3 linked regions of the Diceros bicornis minor genome follow. The protein of the gene in region 1 purifies or fractionates together with the protein of each later gene. This does not show direct contact. Links are inferred from orthologs where the notes say so. Each region holds a gene or a part of one and is shown on either strand. Other genes may lie near its edges.

Region 1 (7,759 bases):
CTGGATTAGGCAAAGATTTCTCAAATAGACACTAAAAGCAGAATCCATAAAAGACCAAACTGATACACAGACTTCATCAGAATTTAAAACTTCTGCTCTCTGAAAGACAGAGTTAAGAGAATCAAAAGATAAGCTGTGGACTGGGAGAAAAATGCAAGACCAATATCTGGTATAGGACTTGTACCCAGAACACATAATAAACTCAAACACTCCTTAATAAGAAACTAACCCCATAAAGTGTGTGCGCTCCACTGCTGGCGGCCCGGGGTTCGCAGGTTCAGAGCTCGGGTGCGCACTGATGCACCACCTGTCAGGCCATGCTGTGGCAGTGTCCCACATAAAGTGGAGGACTATGGGCACGGATGTTAGCCCAGGGCCAGTCTTCCTCAGGAAAAAGAGGAGGATTGGCAGATGTTAGCTCAGGGCTGATCTTTCTCGCGGGAAAAAAAAAAAAAAAAAACTAACCCCATAAAAAAATGAGCAAAACATTTGAACACACACTTCATTAAAGAAGGTATATAGAATGGCAATGGGCACATGAAAAGATGCTGAATATTATTAGAGAAATGCAAATTAAAACCACAACAGAATTCCACTAGACACCTACTAGAACAGCTAAAATTAAAAAGACTGACAATAGCAAACGTTGGCAAGGACGTGGAACAACTAGAACTCTCATACACTGCTGGTAGAGATGCAAAATGGTGTAGCCATTTGAAAAACAGTTAGGAAACATCTTATGAAGTTAAATATACACTTTCCTTGTGACTCTGAAAACCCACTTCTAGATATTTATCCATGAGGAATGAGAATATATGTCCACACAAAAACTTACTTGTTAATGTTCACAGCAGCTTCATCCATAATAACCTCAAACCGGAAACCCAAATGCACATTAACTGGTAAAAAGATAACCAATTTGGTGACCCATACTGCCCACACCAGCAACAAAGAACAAATTACTGTCACACGGCGCATGAATCTCACAAGCACTATCTTAAGTGAAAGAAGCCAGATACAAAAGATTGCAAAGTGTACTGTTCCACTCAGATGAGATTCTAGAAATGGTGAAATATACTGACAGAAAGCAAATCAGGGACTGCCAAGGATTGGGAGTCAGGGCAGAAGAGTGAATTCCAAGAGGCCTCGGGGAACTTTTTGGGGCGATGAAAATATTCTCTACCTTGATTATGGTGGTAGTTATACAATTGTATACATTTGTTAAAACTTATTGAAGTATATGTTATATGTAAGTTATACCTTAATAAAGTTGATCAAAAAACATAATAAACTCACATAAATTTAAAACAAAGAAGGGAGGTATATCCATTAAACTGTCAATAGAAGTCTTCTTTGGGTAGTGGGAGTATAGGTGATTTTAATTTTCTTCTTTGTACTTGTTTGTAGTTTCCATAATTTTTAAAATGTAATCACTTATGTAAATAGAAAAAAAAATTTAAGCTCAAGTCTCAATTTGTGATATTACATTATTACCTAAAATACAGATAATATTAGCAAACGTTATTCTTTAAAAATAAAATATGAGAAACACCAGACTGCTGGTAAATGTAATATCCAAATAGTAAAATATACTTTTGAGCATTTTTTTCTCATGTTAGAAATGGAACTTCATTACTTTAGGTTAAATGTAACAAAGTCTGTATGTTTTAATTGCAACAATTAATCACAAAACACAACGAAGAGGGGGGAAAAATCTACATTAACAAGTGAAACCGTAACAAGTTTCATATATAACATAATGGAATTATAATAATAATTTGCTGCATACTTGGAAAATGTTAAGAGTCATGTAGCCCGAAAATAAAATAGAAATCCCACAACCCCCACAAAACGAAAACACTGGCTGACTCTGGGGACCTGCTGTCACAGGCCCTCCTGTCCTGCTGGAGGCACATGCTTGGATTTCCATTGGTTCCTTCGCTACTGACGCTGAAACAATCCCGAGAACCAGAGCCGGGGTGTGTATCACACCTCCCTGCAGCTAGATAACCGTGTTACTCAGCCAGCCACAAAACCACCCGGTACGGGAGAGAAAGGACGCCGGCTCCTCCGTCCTGAGGTCCTCCTCGCCAGGACAACCCCGCACTGACAGGTCAGCGGGTTGCGAGCGGCCGGCCCCGCCGCTGCGGGCTCACCTGATAGAGCTCCTCCAGGTTGTACCTGATAGACGTGCTACTCTGGATGGCCTTCACCGCCTCGTGCAGCTTCTGCCAGGTGTCCTGAGTGTAGTTGTCCGGCAACTTCGGTCTGTCTGTAAACGCAGAGAGATCAGCGGGGTCGGGTCCGCGCCAGCAGCCAGCATCTTCCAGACACTCCGCAGAAAAGCCCTCACGGGACACCAGGGCCGGGAGCAGAATCGGGCTTCCCAACACAAGGCACCGCGTTTACACAGTTCCCGGGTGCAGACCAGGCGCCCGCACGCCGCTCCACGCGCCCGGCCACGCACGACCCCGGGTCCCGGGTCACCGCCGTCCCGCCGCAGGGCCGACGCCCCGGGAGGGGACAGCAGGGAGGGGGGATCACCGGAGAGGCCCGCGGGGAGGGCACCGCGGGAGGGGACTGCGAGGAGGGGACCGCGGGAGGGCACCACGGGAGGGGACGCCCCCGCCCGCCCCGCCCCGCACCCACCTCGGAAGTTCTTGATGACCAGCTTCCTGGAGCCGCCGCCGGGCTTGGCGGAGACGGCGGCCGCGGCCAGCGACGCGGGCTTGGTGAGGCCGTTGGTGTGGCCGACCAGCGCCGAGAAGCTGCCCTTCCGCGGGGGCTCGTCCGCCATGGCCGCCGCGCTCCCTCGGCCGCCGGCGCCAACCGCCGCCCCGGCCCGGCCCGAGGAGGCCCGAGGCCCGCGAGCGCGGCCCGTCCGCGTCGGCCACGGGCAGCGCGGAACCCGCACAGTCGAGGGGCGCGGGGCAAGCCCTGTCAGCTCCGGGGGCCCGGGCGCCCAGGGGCGCGGACGAGGCGTCCTCGCTGAGGGGAGGCGCGGAGTCGCGGCCGGACGCCGGCCTGCCTCAACCCGGGCGCGCCGCCATGCCGGCCCGGCGCTCGCGCTCCCGCGGACGCTCTCCCTCCGGAACCGACGTGCGCGGAAGGCGGGGCTGGCGGGGCCGGCGGCGCGGGGCCCGGGACGGACCGCCGGCCGGAAGTGACGCATGGCCGGGCGCGCAGGCGCCGTCTGGGTCGGGCGGCGGGCGCTGCCATGGCGCACATCACCATCAACCAGTACCTGCAGCAGGTAATGCTCGCCCGGCAGGTCGCGCGGGGCGACTCTTCCTCCCCTTGGCCTGCGGGGCCCCGGGCCGGGGTGGGCACTGCGGGCCTGGGCAGCCTGTTCCGCGCCTGCCCTGGCCGCCGGACGGGAGGCCGGGACGACGAAGCGGCAAGCTCACTGGGTGTCCTGGGGCCCCCGGGTACACCCACGGTCGCGGCCCTCAGCCTGGGGACGTGGAGAGGGGTCCGAGCGGATCCCCAAGGGCCTGTTGGTCACGCTCAGGAGCAGGGGCGCGGCCGTTGCGTGGCCGTTGAAGGCCTGACCCAAGGGCCGGACTTCGAGTTTTGTTTCGGATGAACGCTGGTGGACATAGGAGATGGAGATGGCAGGTGGTCCCGCCGCGAGCCGCTGGCCACAGCTGCCGTTTAGTACACCCGCTGTGTTAGCACCTGGTATACTATGGTATCCTGGGGAAATGTCTCTCGCAGGGGTTTTGTCCATGCAGCCTGTAAACGGCAGAAGCATAGTTCAAACATAGGTATTTATGGATTCAAAGCTTGCATTCTTCCCGCTAGACTATGGTAATTCGCAGAACTAGGACCGTGGTCATAAGGATAAAGGAGTGGATTTTAAAAATATCTGAAGGAAACATTACCAGGACTTGGTGATTAAGAACTTGTGGTTGAGGGACCTCGGGAGGAGTGAAGAATGATTTCCAGGTGTCTAGCTTGGACGACAGGTGAGCAGAACAGATTCGGAGGGAAAAGTCAGTTTACTTTTGGACATGTGGAGTTGGAGGTGTCTATTGACAACCAGGTAAAGATATCTAGTTGGCAGGTGAATGTTAGTCTAACATGATTGAGACCATTAGTTGCTAGTTAATTGAGAAAGTTGTTTAAAACGGGAATCATGAAAAAAAACAGATACATGCTTTTATTTTAATTTAAAACATACAGATATACATTCACTTGCCAGTCTTTTGATTGAAGCCTTGTCTTTAAGGATAGGTCTACCTTGGCCTTATCTTTGCAGAGTTAACATTTCCCATATCAGTTTAAAGTTGAACAAGAACATAGACATCTGAAAACCAATTTGAATATAGAATCTCTCTAGAATTTTGTTTTCTCTTAATCGTTTACAATTTTCTTGCCCACACCTAATTCCTTTTTTTTTTTTGGACATTCTGTGTGCCTTGAATGGTGTCTGACCCATGTGGATGCTCAATACAATTTGTTGACTGGATAAATGGAGGCAGATAGGAGGCGTTGAGGCTCGCTTATAGGGCTGGATGGTAAAGTGGAGTGATTCGCCTGTTCTCAGACCTCCTCCCTCAGTCTAGTGAGTAGTAAGGTTCAGACCCAGGCTGGTCTGTCTGACTCTAGGTTTCATATTCTTCTGTTTCACCAAACTGCGTCTTGGTCCTATTCCCTGCATTCCCAGAGGAGCACTCAGAGAATCTCCTTTCTTGTCTGTCTTATGTGGTGAAGCAGTTGGGGTATGATGAGAAGCACAGTAATGATTAGCGCATGTTGAACGCTTAATAAGGACCAGGCGCTGTTGTACGTAGTCATCATCGCTGTTTTTCTCGGAGGTGGGTCCATTGCAAGCCCCATTTTGCATAGGAAAGCAGTGGCTTTCCAAAGTCATTGGCAAGTGTGTTGCACATTGAGACCGGGAGTTCCGGCCTCAGAGTCCATGCCCTTAACACAAAGCTCACTGCCTCTCTTAGCCTAAGTTTTGGCCAACATTTCCTGTCCTAGCTAGAACCTGCCTATTTCTGTTTCCGAATTAAATATTTTTTTGAATCTCATTGACCTTGTCAGCTTTGATACATCTCCATTCCTTATTTCACAGCTTCACCATGCCCACAGCCAGCAGCTGCCTGAAATGCTGTGTCTTTCATTCCCCATGTGCTCTGTGATAACATCCTATTATCTGTTGGGTCTGGAGTTTCATTCTACTCTCCTCATAGCTTAGGAGTTCTCCTGGTAGGTTCTTGGGTACTGGCAGAACGCACGCGATTCCTGGGTCAGAGACCAAGGACTTTAGTACTCAGCATAGCAGGCAGCACGGCAGCAGCATGATGGTATTGCGATGGCCCAGAAGGGCCCCTACACGTGCATCTGAGAGAGAAACATGGAACTTGGGGAACCCACCCATTCTATAGCAGGCTGAAAGCAAGTCTGCTTTCTGTCCAGGGTTGGGGATGGGGGGAGACATTACTTCATTTCTCAAGGTGACCAGCTGCATAAACAGCCCTGAGTAACGGCTCAAGTGAAAGAGCCAGCGGTCAATCCTTGGCAGGGGCAGAGGCCGGAGGAGGCCCTGTTGTCTCTCCCAACACCCAGCTGTAGCTAGCATGTCCCCTCATCTATTTAGTGCTCACAGTGTCAGCAGGCATTCAATTTAGTTTCTGTTTGGAAGGGACAGGTTGAATTCATTTACCTTATATTTTCCCCAGAGGTGGCTCTCTTCATCATTTCTAGTATCTTTTTTTTAGTGTCCTTTATTTCATTCTTTTGTCCATTCCACACACTCTTATTTTACATGGAAAATTACTTTTGTGTGTGTGTGTGTGTGAGGAAGATCAACCCTGAGCTAACATCCATGCTAATCCTCCTCTTTTTGCTGAGAAAGACCGGCTCTGAGCTGACGTCTATTGCCAATCCTCCTTTTTTTTTCTTCCCCCAAAGCCCCAGTAGATAGTTGTATGTCATGGTTGCACATCCTTCTGGTTGCTGTATGTGGGACACGGCCTCAGCATGGCCGGAGAAGCGGTGCGTCGGTGCCCGCCCGGGATCTGAACCTGGGCTGCCAGCAGCGGAGCGCGTGCACTTAACCGCTAAGCCACGGGGCCGGCCCCATTATTATTCTTTTTGAAGCTCAAATTGTCCCAGATTTGGCCACTGGGAGCCCCTTCAAACTGGTTTCTGTGGCTTTTTGACCTGTCTCCATCCTTTGGTCTCTGCCTTGCTTTCTGGTGCAATAATATATTCATTCCAGGCTCACTTAGTTCTTTCCCTGTCCCAGCACTAGATCAGACTTTTCCCCAAGAAGCTCTGGTCCCTTTTAGTGGAGGGTGAATTTAGAAAACAGATATGAGTGCTGGGTGTGCTTATTGCTATCAAGGTATCATTACTTCTAGGCCTTTTCAGTGGACGGAGCTAGTAAATGTATTTTTAAGGAATTAGGAGTTCTAAGAGCAGATGATTCCCCAGTGGATCAGCTTGGAGCCTGGAGGACAGGAGTTGACCAGCAGCAGCCAAGAAAGAGAACTTCCTGAGAGTACCCAGAGCCAGAGAGTTTCACCTGATGACCTCTGCAGTCCCGAGGCCAGGCCCACAGGGGTGCTGTGGACAGTCTCGCCTGGAGTGCGGCCGCATGGTCCAGTGCAAGGTGCTTAAATTAAAACACCAGGGCCAGCCCAGTGGCGTAGTGGTTAAGTTCACATGCTCCGCATTGGCAGCCCTTGGTTCGCCGGTTTGGATCCCTGGCGTGGACCTACACACTGCTTATCAAGCCACGCTGTGGTGGTGTCCCACATACAAAATAGAGGAAGATTGGCATAGGTGTTAGCTCAGAGACAATCTTCCTCACCAAAAAATAAAAAAAATAATAAAAGACCAGAAGTTCTGGGGTGTGACGTATCAACAGTGACTAAAGCCGTGACTGGGTTGCCCATGATGCTAGTGTCCACTGAGGTGCACATCCGTCTTGGAGATTTGATGCGAGTGTGTCACCATCCCTCTGTTTTCCCTCACACCCCGTGACGAGAACTTTGCAGGTTTTCTTAGCTTCCTTGAGGCAGGGGCACCAATGGGACCAATATTTTGTGATTACTCGTAATACATGAAATGACCTTTTGTTTCTTGTAAGGTAGATCCCTAGGAGTGGGATTGCTGGCTCAGAACTTAAGTGCATGTGCAGTTTTGTTGAATAGTCAAGTGGCAAATTCTTTATGATACAAATTATCTTGGAAAAGGTGTGGTAAACTTCCCCAGTCGATGCCCTGAGTGGTAAGCAGAGGAGGTGTCCTTGTGGCTTAGGCCTCCATTTCTTCTGGCCGTGGATGCCTGGGCTTTGGGTTACTGGGCCGGGGAGTAGGTGTGTGCTCCCTTTAGTAGGCGTACCTGATACTTTCCCAGAGTGGACGCACCACTTCACCCTTCCCCCAGCAGTGTGTGAGAGTTCCAGTTGCTTTATATTCTTGGCAGCACTTGGTATGGTCAGCCTTGTCCGTTTTGACTGTTCTCGTGGATGTGTAGAGGGATGCCGTTGCATTTCGCTGGTGGGTAGTGACGTGCGCACCTTCTCGTACGCCATTCCGTGTCCTTTTTATGACGTCCCTGGTCGGAGCCTTGTGTGGCATGAAATTCACAGATCTAATTTTATTGTAGGTGAATTGTACCATATGTGCAGCTTCATGCTTGGCTTTCTCTTCACTTATATAATTAGAATTTTTATGTCATTTTTGGTAAATATAATTTAAAAATATCATTTGGTTTTCTGATTACAAAGTGTCTGCTGTAA
Region 2 (7,049 bases), on another chromosome or scaffold:
TTGATCCCACTCACATCCCACAGGATGTGAGCAGCAAGTGGGCAGCAGCAGGTCTGCATGATTCCTGTGCACCTGTGGCCATATGAAACTGTAAAGTCTGAAAACTCAGGTATGCCAAAATGATAGCTCACTTATTTTCTTAATTACTCTGTATAGTACCTATTTCCATTTGATAGCAGAAATATAATCTGGTCACTTCCTGGCAAATTCAGTCAAGTAAGTGTATGATCACTCAGTCATTTCAGTCAAGTTGAGGGTTCTGTCCCTCTTCTGATATCCAGGGTCACAGCTACATTCTGCAGAGCTTATGTGCTCATGGCATGGAGTGGGAGGGGAAGGGGCTGGAAGCTGTCTGGTCGTTGGTCATCATCCATCTTCCTCTACTGCTCAGGGAGGCAGGCAGACCTCACCCCTACCAGTTGTGCACTGTCATCCTTGGTTTCTGCTGTCCCAAGAGATGTCTGCATTTGTGCCATGGTCTCTGGTTTGGACTGTCCAGGTTTATCTGCTTTAGTGCTCCCCTTATTACATCCCAGAAGCCCCTTCCTGGTCATCTGCCTCCTCTTTGAGCAACATCCATTCTGTTTTAGGGCCTCAGGACATATTTTGATGATCCTTGGGATCCTCACACATTAGGCACAAGCCTGAGATGCTCCCAGACCCACCTGCCTAGGCATACTCAGCTGCCATTTCTACTTGACTGCTGCCATAACTTCTCATCACGGAACACTTTAGACCTTACAGACTAAGATAGATTCTCTTCACTCTTAGAGACCCCAAATCTTTCTGGGGGTCCTAATCATTCCATATCCCTGGATTGAGGGGATAGGGGGAATGAGTGGGAGACAGTCCCTTTTCAGAGACCCACCCCAGTAGCTAACTACAATGCTCTCTTCTCTGCCTCGATTTCATCCCCACTCCCAGCCTTTTGGAAAACTGACTCTGGCATCATCATACCTCCTCTTCCCAACCCTGCTGTTGCTAGTATAAAATTTAAGATTTGAGTCCTTCAGCATCTTGGGCTTTCAGTGCTCCAAAAAACCTTCTTGTCTGAAAAGCTTTGGGTTTCAAGAGTCCATTTTGCAAATCAAGATCTAAGAATTTGACTTGTTTTTCTTTGCATTCAGCACCTTCTCCTCTGGAGTAATATGGTGGTCTGACTTTAGGTGGAAGGCTTAGAGTTTGGCAAAAAGGAAGAAGGAGGGGCTAAGCAGAGGAAGGTGAGGCTCAGAGAGGTGAAATAACTTGCCCAAGATCACGTAATAGAGTCGCTGTGCTTACCTCTACCAGCGGAGCAAGAGAGCAGTGGAGTGCAGCCAGGGGATCTCTGACCATGGGGACGGGATTACTTCGTAGCTTACATGCTGTCCTATGGGTTGGAACACACATTCAGAGTCCAGAGTCTGTCCCATGGGTGGGTGCCTCAGAAAGGGAGTGTGAACTGAATTTTAGATGCACTGAGAGGGCTGGTCCTCATAGGAATCGTCCCATGAACCCTTTACAGCATTGAAACTCTGTTTACAAAGGGAGATCACCTCTGGAAATGAATTCACCATAAAAAACAGATTTTGCCACCTGGACTGCTTCAATCCAAGGCCTTTAGCTTCCCTGGAGGTAGTATGCTGGTATCAGTTGTAAATCAGAAAATATTCCTGGCATTTGAGGGTTAAAATTCAATATCTGGGCTGTGGTGGCAGAAGCATAGCTGGGATTGGAGCCTCAGCCCTCCTCTGCAGTGGCTGTGTGACACTGGGAAAGTCCTTGCTCTTTGGTTGCATTTCCTTCCTCTCTAGAACAAGGAGTTTGATAACATGGTGTGTGGAGTGATTGGAGTAAGTATGAGACCTCAGCCTTCTCATGGCCAGCTCTGGAACCAGAAGCACCCCCCCCACACACACACACACCTCCACACACCAACGGGAGTCTGTGGGGGCCAGTCCTTTCTGACCTGGGCTAGTGATTATGAATAAATGACTGGGGGTGAGTGATCCCCAGCCTGCATCCTACAGTCCCACAACTGCCTTGTTCCTCCTGAGTGGAGGGTTTGAAAGAGGATACGGTTGATTCAGAAAGTGTAGAGCTAAACTAGTCACCTTTGACAGACACTGCTGGTCCCTTCTTAGCAAGGCTTCATCACTGAGTCCCTACTACAGAGGTTTCTCAACTTACCTTGGGCTTGAGAATCGCTTGGAGAACTTGTTTAAAAGACAGAAAAACCTGCCCCCAGGGAGTCTGATTCATTAGCTCAAGAGTGGACCCTGGAATCTGCATTTTTCTTGACCTGATGCCAATTTATTTTTGAAGTAAAAACTTTTTGAATATGTAATACATTCATATGGACCGAAATCCAAAAGGTAGAAAAGGGTATAAAGTGAAAAATCACCCAAACCCCTGTTCCCCAGTCACCTGGTTCCCCTCCCCTGAGGCAAACAATTTCTTGTGTATCTTTCCTGAGAAAACTATGCATATAATAGCGTATATGAGTAAATGAAACCTGCATTTTAAAAACAAGCCTCTCTTGATGATTCCAATATTGCGGGTCCCCAGACATATTTGGAAAAACATACACCTCCTTTACAGGCCCTGGGCTGGGTCCTCGGGCTAGATGTGTGACCTGGCACTGCCCAGTCCTGTTTAGGATGCTCAACAAGAGTTTACCAGGTGCTACCTTGTATGCCATGGGCAGCGGAGCAAAGGGGCTCCAGTGGGCCTTGCCTAGGAGACCTGAAGCTCAAGCTGCTGAGGGCAAGGCTGTGTTGTAGAGAAAAATTATGAGAGCTGTAGGTCCTTTCATCTTCCTGTCATCAGCTGTGGCACCGGGCAGACACTGGATACCACAGCTTGTAGACAAAGACCTGGTAACCCAAGGAGCTGCTGGGCCTCCCTGCCCAGTCTCATCCCAGAAGAGCTGTAGGCCTCTGATTCCTTTCCGGGCCCTGTGTGGAAGCGTCTTTTGTCTCCCTGGCGTCAGGAATACCATCACGTGCTTGTTGGTTAGGTGAGCCGGGCGCCTCAGTCTCCTAGGGAGGGGTGGCAGCGTTCCCGGCCAGAGCAGGGGAGAGCGGGCGAAGTCCCTGACTGGCTGGCTGGGGGTGGGAGTTTTCAGACTAGCCCTTTCCCTCCCTAGCGTTGGATTCCTCCAGTGGCCCCTATCCCAGCCTTCAGAGAGCATCCCATACAAGAGTTCTGGCCAGGCTGGACCCTGGCTGCCTGGGTCACTGCCAAATCCCCGCACTGTGACACACACACGCGCGCGCGCGCGCGCGCTCAATACACGTTTGCTGAAGCAGTGGATATTCACTGCCAGAGAGAGGCCTCCTCTCAAGACTTGGGGTTTCCCTGGAACAATGGTTATTTGTGGCCTGGAGGCCTCTTCAGAAATAAATGGTAGGAAATGAGGGTTAAGAGCACCAAACTATGGAGCAAGGTTCAAATCCTGGCTCTGCCACTCAACCGTTGTGAACCTGTTCCCTCACATACAAAGGAGAAAAAGGCAAACAATATTTCACCTCATGGGTTATGGTGGAGGATGAGCTAACTCTTCTTGGGTTCAGAGGACACTGAGGCCCTGAGCGGAATCTCAAAGCAGTGACTGCAAAGCGCAGCTGCCTTCCTTCTTTGAGCCCCAGTTTTCCCGTCATGAAAGACGAGCCGCACCCTGACCTCATCCACGCCCCCCTCTCCGCTCCACACACACTGACACTTTCTAGGCTTTTCACGTCTGGGGTCTTTAGTTCGGCTTAGGACAGACCCTGCCTGAAGGGCCCCTGCAAACCGCGGAGAAGCCCAACCAGTCCCTCGTTCCCGCTTTGAGGAGGGCGAGCAGCGCTTTCGAGGGTGGGGTAAGAATGAAGCCCCGCCCCCGCCCCGCCGCGCCCGCCCGCCACCGCCTCTCCGCCCGGCCCGGCCCCTCCGTCCTCCGCCTGCCGTCAGGCGATCTCCGCGGCCAGCCCCGCCGGCTCTGTGACGCCGCGGGCCCCGGGGTCCTCGGCGCCTGCGCCCGCCATATAAAGGCCGACGCCGCGCCGCGTCGCTGTAGTGGCCTTGTTGTCTGCTTTTCTCCTGTGTGTGCTGACGCCGCTGTGCCCCCGTCAGCCTCCCGCCCGCCGTCTCCTTGAGACCCAACACCGTAAGTAGCCTCTGACCGAGCTGGAAGGGGCGGTGGCGCCGCGGATGGCAGGTTGGGTGCCCGCACCGAGGCGGGAGGCACCGGGGCCTGGCCTTCCCTCAGGCCCGGTGGAACCCGTTGCAGACCCCGTTCTGCGGGAGGTGCCGGCGGGCCCCTTCTCCCGCCCCGCCCCTCGACGAGGACTGTTCTGGTCGCGCGACCTCGCGACGCCCGGTGGGCGCCCGGGCGGGCAGGAGGCAGGAGGTGCGAGCCGAGCCCGGGATTGGGCCTTTTCTGCGCACAGCGAGCGTTCGCTGGCGCGGAGCTCGGCCGCAAGGCCCAGGCTGCGGCCTGGGGCCTCCCTTTGCGTTGAGACTGCGGGCCCCGGTGACCCAGGGCGGAGGTGGCGTCGGGGCTTTTAGTGGAGGGCCCTTGTCTGTCGTGAGCGTGGGCGTGTGTCCGTGTTGTTGTTTTGGTGTCGGAGGGAGCGTGGCGACGGTAGTCCGGAGCTAGGGAATCTCGGCTCCCATCCTTTCCCCTGGGTCAGGCGTCACTAGTTGCCGATGCTGGCTATCTGTGCTGGGGCTGAATCTTTGCAGATAGCCCCCTGCTCCTTCTGAATATTTCTCTCCGTTATTTTGCCACAGCCTGGAGTTGCTGAAACAACTATTGTAACAGCAGATACTGTCGTCATAGTGATGTGGCTTTTAGGAGCCCCAACTCTGTAAAACTTAACTCGAGGCGTCTGGGTCTCCAAGGGATAGGACGTTTGCCTGATTTAGTTCACTTTTTAGTGGAGACTTAAGGTTTGGGTTTTGGGGTCATGCAGTTTTCACCAGAGCTTCACAATATAAAGTATCTGTGTCGTAGAGCAATGCAGACTTCTCCACTCTGCCCTCTAAAAACAAGTGTCAGAATTTCAGGGCACTTGAAACACAGGTTTTTTTTCTTTATGATGTTGATAGAACCCACTTCCTGCCAGCCATGGAGGGTGATTTAATTTCCAATTTCAGGAGCCTAAGGAATTGGAGAAATGGTCTTGAAAGCATGTCAAATCAAAATTTTATCCATTGTGATCTGAAATTTTTGCACTGAATTCCAGCTGTGTAACACTGAAAAAAGTTCTCTTTGAGTTTTAAGTCTAGGATTACAAAGTGCATTGAATTACAGATTAACCGATTGCCTCCTTGCTATTTAATAGGATCTCAACTCCCTTAAGAGTAACCTAATAAACAAATTTGACTATGACTAAGCAGATCTTGCTATTTATCGAGAGTTATTTGAAAGAAGTATGAAATGGTCGTCTTGCTTAAAAGTAATTTTATCAACTGCTTTACCAGACTCATGTTTCTGTAATGTTCGTTCTGGTGCTTTGGAATATAAAAAGAACATAGAATGTTTTCTAAGTAAAAATTGGGCTCTAGTGGGGATGCCTTTTGTTGTTGCCTTGTCACAGGGAAGGTCCTCTGCTCTGGGCCCTTCATTGAGCAGGACAACTGCATTATTGGCAAGCACTAAGCAACATGGAGAAGCAGACATATTTGTGAACTGAAAAGTGAAATGCGATTCTCTCCAACCATGGTGTAGTGAGAACAGGATATATCAATGGCTGGTTTGAAAATATAGTTTTACCTTTTTGCTTCCTTTCCCTAACAGCTTGTCTGTTTGGGGGATGGAAACAATTGTCTGGGAAAAGCTGAATGAATATTTTAACTGATTTAATGGGTCTTAGGCCTTTGAACCTAAAATGGGTGCAATGACTGTTTTAAATGCCGAATTCTACACTTTGAAGTTAATAGGGACATCACAGGATTATGAATACCTGAAAAGCATGGAGCTTCAAAAGCAATACTTAAAATTTGAAGAGGTCTTGAATTAATCTTTACAATCACATATTGCTGCCCTTTCCTCTCCTGCTGAAGACTCTAAAGATGGTAAAAAAAAAAAATTGCTGGCTTAGAATTCTTAATTTTAAAGAGGTTTTATTGTTTTTTCCCCGGAACTTAAATTCTTTGAAGTTAATTGCTTAATTAACTTTTATGTAAGAGATGTCTTTTTCCTGGTGACTCATAATTAATCCGAGTTAATAAATACATTTTTGGAGCAAGTAATAGGTTATTATTATGAGGATTTCGGCAGAAGATCTCAAACTGGAACACCTGGACAGTCAGAAATGAAGTATAAGAAGGGTGGTGAAGTTTAAGTTCCTTATTTGGTTTAGGGAATTAGATTGACATCTGCTTATTCTTAAATCTTTTACTGTCTTATATATGGTCTTGCATTGATCCAAACATAAATAAGTATATCCTGATCTACTTTTGGGATCTGAATGCATTTTTCACTGTTAGGTCTCACAATGGGAAAAGTACTCCCTTATTTGATTGCTTTGTTTATTTTGGACTGACCTTCCTCAGGTTTGCAGGTGGTTAATTGTGATAGTTAACTATTCAAATGAGAGTAGTCAGTATTCAGTGAGAGCAGAAAGGCAGACAGAAAGTAAGTCCATTTGAGATCTATTTTGCATCAAAAGTATAGAATGTAACCCTTAAATTTATACCAGTATTGAGTTCAGTAGGGCAGGCCTTAAAAGCTTCTGTTCCTAGGAGTTAGTCTTTGAAAAAATTTTATAGAAACACTTGTATGCTGGCCTGTGAATTACCACTTACAGTGTTTTACAGAGGTATCTACTACAGTTCCTTAGGATTTTATAGTTAATAAGTTAGAGGGCTTCTAACAGACTGTAGTTGATGAAATGTAGAGAACTAATATCTCTTAAATTTCAAATTCAATATAGTACTTTTTTTTTAGATGCCTTCAATTAAGTTGCAGAGCTCTGATGGAGAGATATTTGAAGTTGATGTGGAAATTGCCAAACAATCTGTGACTATCAAGACCATGTTAGAAGGTAAGTTTATTAGAAAACCTGGGTCAGGGGAAAGAG
Region 3 (6,968 bases), on another chromosome or scaffold:
CATTTGAATCAACAGCTTTGAGTCTCTAAACAGCCACTAATTCCTAAACATTCTAGTGTAATGCCTGACAAGTACTTTTCATTTAATACACATTACCTGCCACATCCTTTAGGAAGTCTGGTCAAATGATGACTTTCTACGCAGCTCAATGTGGATTTAAATAGAGCTATGTATTAAAACTGATTCTTATACATTCTCTTCCACCACAAACACCTTTTATCATCTCCTTCCTGCTAGTATTCCAGAAACTTTCCCACTCTCAGGTACCTCACAACCATGCCCAAACTCAGTATTTTTTAAGTCAGTAGTCTGCAAGTGTCTACATATAAGTGTACATGTGGAAAGTTATAAAAGCAATCTCTAATTTCTCGCCCACTACAGTTCTACGTTAACATCATCTTTTAGTGGTATTTCTTACCTCCTGGTTGCCATAGGATTGGGTAGACCGAAAACCTTAACTCCTCACACCCCACCCTAACTAAAAAGAACCTAACTCAGGAAAAAAAAAAAAAAAATCACACTATTTGGGTATGCAACAACTTTATTGAAAGGAAAGTGCAATGAAATTTGTCAGAAGCTTAAAAGGGGGAACTTAGACACCCCCCCTCAAGCGCAGGACCAAGTGCAGAGTAGATTCTTTCTGGATGTTGTAATCAGAGAGGGTGCGTCCATCTTCCAGCTGTTTCCCGGCGAAGATCAACCTCTGCTGGTCAGGGGGGATGCCCTCCTTGTCCTGGATCTTGGCCTTGACGTTCTCAATGGTGTCACTGGGCTCCACCTCGAGGGTGATGGTCTTACCGGTCAGGGTCTTCACGAAAATCTGCATCCCACCTCTGAGACGGAGCACCAGGTGCAGAGTGGACTCCTTCTGGATGTTGTAGTCAGACAGGGTGCGTCCATCTTCCAGCTGTTTCCCGGCGAAGATCAACCTCTGCTGGTCAGGGGGGATGCCCTCCTTGTCCTGGATCTTGGCCTTGACGTTCTCAATGGTGTCACTGGGCTCCACCTCGAGGGTGATGGTCTTACCGGTCAGGGTCTTCACGAAAATCTGCATCCCACCTCTGAGACGGAGCACCAGGTGCAGAGTGGACTCCTTCTGGATGTTGTAGTCAGACAGGGTGCGTCCATCTTCCAGCTGTTTCCCGGCGAAGATCAACCTCTGCTGGTCAGGGGGGATGCCCTCCTTGTCCTGGATCTTGGCCTTGACGTTCTCAATGGTGTCACTGGGCTCCACCTCGAGGGTGATGGTCTTACCGGTCAGGGTCTTCACGAAGATCTGCATCCCACCTCTGAGACGGAGCACCAGGTGCAGAGTGGACTCCTTCTGGATGTTGTAGTCAGACAGGGTGCGTCCATCTTCCAGCTGTTTCCCGGCGAAGATCAACCTCTGCTGGTCAGGGGGGATGCCCTCCTTATCCTGGATCTTGGCCTTGACGTTCTCAATGGTGTCACTGGGCTCCACCTCGAGGGTGATGGTCTTGCCTGTCAGGGTCTTCACGAAGATCTGCATCCCACCTCTGAGACGGAGAACCAGGTGCAGAGTGGACTCCTTCTGGATGTTGTAGTCAGAGAGGGTGCGTCCATCTTCCAGCTGTTTCCCGGCAAAGATCAACCTCTGCTGGTCAGGGGGGATGCCCTCCTTGTCCTGGATCTTGGCCTTGACGTTCTCAATGGTGTCGCTGGGCTCCACCTCGAGGGTGATGGTCTTACCGGTCAGGGTCTTCACGAAAATCTGCATCCCACCTCTGAGACGGAGCACCAGGTGCAGAGTGGACTCCTTCTGGATGTTGTAGTCAGACAGGGTGCGTCCATCTTCCAGCTGTTTCCCGGCGAAGATCAACCTCTGCTGGTCAGGGGGGATGCCCTCCTTGTCCTGGATCTTGGCCTTGACGTTCTCAATGGTGTCACTGGGCTCCACCTCGAGGGTGATGGTCTTACCGGTCAGGGTCTTCACGAAGATCTGCATCCCACCTCTGAGACGGAGCACCAGGTGCAGAGTGGACTCCTTCTGGATGTTGTAGTCAGACAGGGTGCGTCCATCTTCCAGCTGTTTCCCGGCGAAGATCAACCTCTGCTGATCAGGGGGGATGCCCTCCTTGTCCTGGATCTTGGCCTTGACGTTCTCAATGGTGTCACTGGGCTCCACCTCGAGGGTGATGGTCTTACCGGTCAGGGTCTTCACGAAGATCTGCATCCCACCTCTGAGACGGAGAACCAGGTGCAGAGTAGATTCTTTCTGGATGTTGTAGTCAGAGAGGGTGCGTCCATCTTCCAGCTGTTTCCCGGCGAAGATCAACCTCTGCTGGTCAGGGGGGATGCCCTCCTTGTCCTGGATCTTGGCCTTGACGTTCTCAATGGTGTCGCTGGGCTCCACCTCGAGGGTGATGGTCTTGCCCGTCAGGGTCTTCACGAAAATCTGCATTGTCTGTCAGAACAAAACAATAAAGAAAAAATCCAAGAGTTTAACAGGCAATTCACGGGTCAACGCGTTCCTCAGGAGCAGGAGTCAAAGGTCACTGTGCCAGCCAAAAAACAAACGCCTCTCCTGAACAACCTCACGCAATGAAACGCTTGACAAATGAGCCGGAACCCATTTCAGGAACTTACCAGAGAAAAGCACGGACACCTGGCCCGGTAGATTTGGACGCCTCACTTATCTCCCCCCTCAGCGGACCCGTGTCCCCTGTCAGTCCGGCAGCGTCCACCTCAGGCCCAAACCCCGTGTCCCGCGACTCACACAAAGCTGCCCCCCACCCCTGCAGGCGGCCCCACCCCGCATTATGAGCCCACAGCGGCGCTGACGTCACGAGCCCGCTCCCGCGAGCGCGCCCCTCCCCCACAGTGGGTGCAGGACTGGCGGGAGCGGCACCCACGACGCCAAGACCCCCCGCTGCGACGAGACCAGGTTCTCGCACCAGTCAGGCGGCGAACCGCTCTCTTCACCGCAGCCGCCCCACACGCCGCCCGACTCGGCCCTACAAGTAGCCGAACTCCCCCGCGCTCGCGGCCTTCGCGGTTTCCTTCACCCACGACCCCCCATCTCTCTCCAACCTCCTGGCCCGCTTCCGAGTCCCGCTTCCCCCGACTAGGGATCGGAAACAGCCGCCATCTTGCTCGTTCCTCCCCCCCCCTCACGGCTGCCCTGCTCGCGGGCCCCGGGAACCTGAAAGCCTCAGCCGCCCCTGTGCCCGCGGCGGGCAGCGCGGCCTCCCCGCTAGCCCCTGGCCCGCAGGCGCAGGGCCACCAGACCCCCGGGCCGCCACGGCGGCCCCTACTCACCAAGTCGCGGTGCCGGCAGCGCACGAAGGACAGCAAGAACCGACCTCCTAACCTAGACCGATCTGCCTGCACCACGCCCGGGGCTTCATTTATATAGCAACGGTAGCCCCGCCCCGGGGATCCCTCCGCAGAAAGGCCGAGAAGGGACTACTTTTCTCAGCCCTTCCTGCTGCCTGGAGAGAAAAATAGTTCCCCGGAACCACCTAATCGCCCCCCTGAAATGTTCTCCTGTTAATACGGGGACTTTGGGGTTGAATCGGGGGGCCGGGGGGGGGGGGGGCGCTGTCCTGAGAGGCCGGGCGGAGGGATCACCGCGTTCTTTGCGCGCTGCGTCCGCGGACGTGGCCAGCGCTCGATGGAGGGGGCGGGGGAGCGGCCCCCGGGAGGCGCGAAAACCCGGCGCGGAGTCTCCCGGGCCCCCGGAGCGGGCTGTCCCCGCAGCCCGGCCCCGACGCCCCCTCCCCTCAGCCCCAACGGTCACGCCGGCCACGGGACCCGCCCCTGACGGCCACGGCTCAGGCCGAGCGCCTCATGCAGAGGCGGGGTCCTGCTGCCCTCTCGCGCACCGCGCCCTGCCCCTCCCCCCCGCGACACCGGGGGTCTTTCTTTCGGGTCACATTTGAGATAATAATCGTGTTTTTGCTTCACCAAACTCCCCTCACTCCGGGCCGTGGCGGGGGCTCCCCGGGGCCCCCCGGGCCCCAGCCCTCACTGGTGGCGGCCGGGCCCATCCCCCCCAGGCGGGCACCGGGACAAGGCGAATGACTCGACAGATCTTGGCTCCCGCCTCAGACGCCGGCGTCTGCGCAGGAGGAGCAAGAATGCCTCAAAACAAACGGGCAAAGCGTGCGTTTCCAACGGAGAAATGACTGTGGCGTGTCTGCCTTGAACTGGGAGAAGAAAGGCAGATATTCCACACAGCTTTGTCAGACTACTTGAGCTGGACCTGAAAGCTGACAGAACTAGATCTTTCTAGATTGTTCTTTAGCTTTCCTGTTTAATCTGCGTGGCCTTGGGTTTGAGAACTTAGTGCTTGATTATAAACAAGGAGGGTATCAGAATTTCAGCTCTGTCGACATTTCGTTGGACTCGGAAGTTGAAGCTATTTAAGCCTGAGATTTAAAAAGACTAATTGAATCTCAGCTCCATGTATTTCCGGGGAGAAAAAAACATTTCGATATCCCAAATATGAAATTTAATTCTAGAGACAAATTCCATTTTGATATAAGAGGAGAAAAAGGCTCACCAGCCAGATCTTTTTCATTTTTACGACAGGCTATTTTGTGATCTCGATGTGTCATTTCTTCAGCGCATTTTTAAAATGTTTTAAAATAGGTGAGCATGGTGAAACTTTAAAACAGGTTTTTTTTAAGTTTGCAGTCTCCCTCATGCCGTCAATTCTCCTGCCACTGTTCCTTCTGGACTCTTCTAGAATTATTCCCTATTTCTACAAATGGGGAGGGGGGAAAAAGATTTTAATTTCTACCTTTAACGCCTTGAAGAAAAAAATAGAAAAAGAGGCAACTGACCGAAAAATGTTCTGCCATTAGGAAAAGATTACATTCCTGTTTAAAATTATGAACATTGTTTAAACATTATACTTAAAATGTGAATGAAAATAAAACTATTTTCTTCAGTAACCCATGTATGTATGTATGTATGAAAAAAGTCGGAGTGTAAGTGAGCGTAAGTGAGGCCATGTGGTTACGCTAAAATGGCCCCAGCCCCTCCTCTGTGTGACTACTCGTTCTGCACGTACTCTAAAAAATTCAAATGCTCTCCTGATTTATGGCCTCCACTCAGGTATGTACTCCCCAATAACTTGATAAATTAAAAACTTTGCTCTATGAGTTTCTCTCCAGGAACAGGCTGACCACAGGCAGGGACACACCTACAAGGTATCCATCACAGCTGACAGAAGAATGGAACAATGTGATGCCTGGAGCCCATCATGCTTGGAGTCCAACATCCCTGGACCCCCCCACCTTACTGCCCATTTTACTGCCTCAAGATTCTGTAATCTTTGAAGATGGGTCTTTGAGACATTAGTCACCTGTCTTCCAGTTTACCGGATAATCTAATTAAACTTCGTTTCTCGATCTCTAACTTGTGATTAATTGGCCCAGATCTTAGCGAGCAGAGCGAGCCCATTGCTTGGTATCATGAGCAGTGTTGCAAATAGACTTCAACCTCTAATTTTTAACATTTTTCTAAGAGAATGAATTTTATTACTGGAGAATTAAAATGAATAATAAAAATAAAATTCATTTTTCAGGTTAGCAGGAGACCCTGGTGACTGCCAATACAGATTTCTGTGAAAGATATTTCTTTCTAAGTTTCTGGAAAGAGATTTTAAAGGAACAAAAAGTTGAGGCTCTTAATAAGATTATGTCTCCCTAAATTTCAGGAAGAAGTTTCTAAAGGAAGAAAAACAGGTTCTTTCTCAGATGATCAGGACTCACTTCAAACTACACCTTGTTTGCTTTTGGCTGTTGCTTTGCTGCAAGCCGTGTGATTCATGTTGTTTAAAGGCTGAGTCACGAGCTTTGCAACGTGGCTTGTCTCAGAGTCCAAAAGGTACAGAGAAAAATAGGCCTGATTTCTGAGGCAGAGGAGGAAGAGGAAGAGAGGAGGAAGGAGAGAGGCTCAGAGGGTGGGGAGTGGGCCGAAGGTTATCTCCAAAGAGAAAACAACATTCTTAGGCTGAGAACACTGATTTTTTCTCTAGCAGAAAACATTCTCTGAAACACCCTTGCATCCCCTAATCTAAGTCCAATAAGTAGGTTTTTGTTGAAGGAAATAGAAGTAAACATTTGTCCAAGGGCACAGAGTGAGAGACGGGAGGAGACACTGACCTCCCAAGAGAGGGGCTGCTGTTTCTCTGGAGCAGTGGCTCTCAACCAGGAGTGATTTTTGCCTCGGTGGACATTTGGCATTGTCTGGAGACATTTTTGGTTGTCACAACTGTGGTGGCTGAGGGTAGGGGTGCTACTAGCATCCAGCGACAGAGGCCAGGGATGCTGCTCAACATCCTACGACGGACAGGCCCCCACAACACAGAATTTCCCGGCCCCCAGTGTCAACAATGCCCCGGTGAGAAACCCTGCTCTACAGAGGATTTTGTTGTTGTTGTCACAATTGCTTTTCTACTTGCTGAGAAGGGCTCCCAAAGTCTAAATGTCCCACTTGGAATCGGGAATCAGGTATCAAGTCACGCTCCTAAAACCTAAAGCCCTCTGACCTAGAATGCAATGTGCTAGAATGTGCGAGAAGCCGGATGAGTCACTGGATCCATTTTCAGTTCTTTCCGCCCACAGATCCGTCCTTTGCAGGCGCCCCAGAAGAAATTGCTTCAGAGCTGGCACCAATGGAAAAGTGACAGAGGCCCAGCAACAGGGCGGGATTGGCGGGCAGACGCGAGCACGTGATGGGCTGAGCTCACAAAGGGCCTGGCTGTTGGGCTGCTGGGGGGAGGGGAGGGTTGGGCTGGTGCCTGTCTGCCTGCCTGCCTTTCTTCCTTCCTCCAAAGGATCCAGTTCCCCTGAAGGTCACCACCTTGTATGGGACTGAGCTCAACATCATGACAATGTTCCAGAGCACAATGGGCAGCAAACATTTTCCCCCCAAGAGAAAGGGTGAAATCAGAGAGCTGGGTGGGAAAGGCCTGCCTTGCTTTGTCATCACTTATA

The links. The genes of interacting proteins can lie anywhere in the genome.
Region 2: the proteins of CUL4A (region 1) and SKP1 purify together in Homo sapiens (affinity purification with mass spectrometry; 3 studies listed by BioGRID and IntAct, with this or other methods). This does not show direct contact. The link is inferred for Diceros bicornis minor from reciprocal best matches to the Homo sapiens genes CUL4A and SKP1.
Region 3: the proteins of CUL4A (region 1) and UBC purify together in Homo sapiens (affinity purification with mass spectrometry, with the first as the bait; 3 studies listed by BioGRID). This does not show direct contact. The link is inferred for Diceros bicornis minor from reciprocal best matches to the Homo sapiens genes CUL4A and UBC.

The regions. Positions count from the first base shown.
Region 1 is NC_080748.1:86,944,570-86,952,328, reverse strand, and holds the start of CUL4A (cullin-4A), read right to left. Parts: upstream 3,024-7,759; 5' UTR 2,798-3,023; coding exon 2,650-2,797; intron 2,273-2,649; coding exon 2,157-2,272; intron 1-2,156. Other genes in the region: PCID2 (PCI domain-containing protein 2), read left to right, coding at 3,218-3,253. UniProt on the Homo sapiens protein: Core component of multiple cullin-RING-based E3 ubiquitin-protein ligase complexes which mediate the ubiquitination of target proteins. As a scaffold protein may contribute to catalysis through positioning of the substrate and the ubiquitin-conjugating enzyme.
Region 2 is NC_080740.1:53,332,558-53,339,606, reverse strand, and holds the start of SKP1 (S-phase kinase-associated protein 1), read left to right. Parts: upstream 1-4,026; 5' UTR 4,027-4,129; intron 4,130-6,916; coding exon 6,917-7,013; intron 7,014-7,049. UniProt on the Homo sapiens protein: Essential component of the SCF (SKP1-CUL1-F-box protein) ubiquitin ligase complex, which mediates the ubiquitination of proteins involved in cell cycle progression, signal transduction and transcription.
Region 3 is NC_080774.1:5,852,536-5,859,503, reverse strand, and holds UBC (polyubiquitin-C), read right to left. Parts: upstream 2,448-6,968; 5' UTR 2,423-2,447; coding exon 593-2,422; 3' UTR 524-592; downstream 1-523.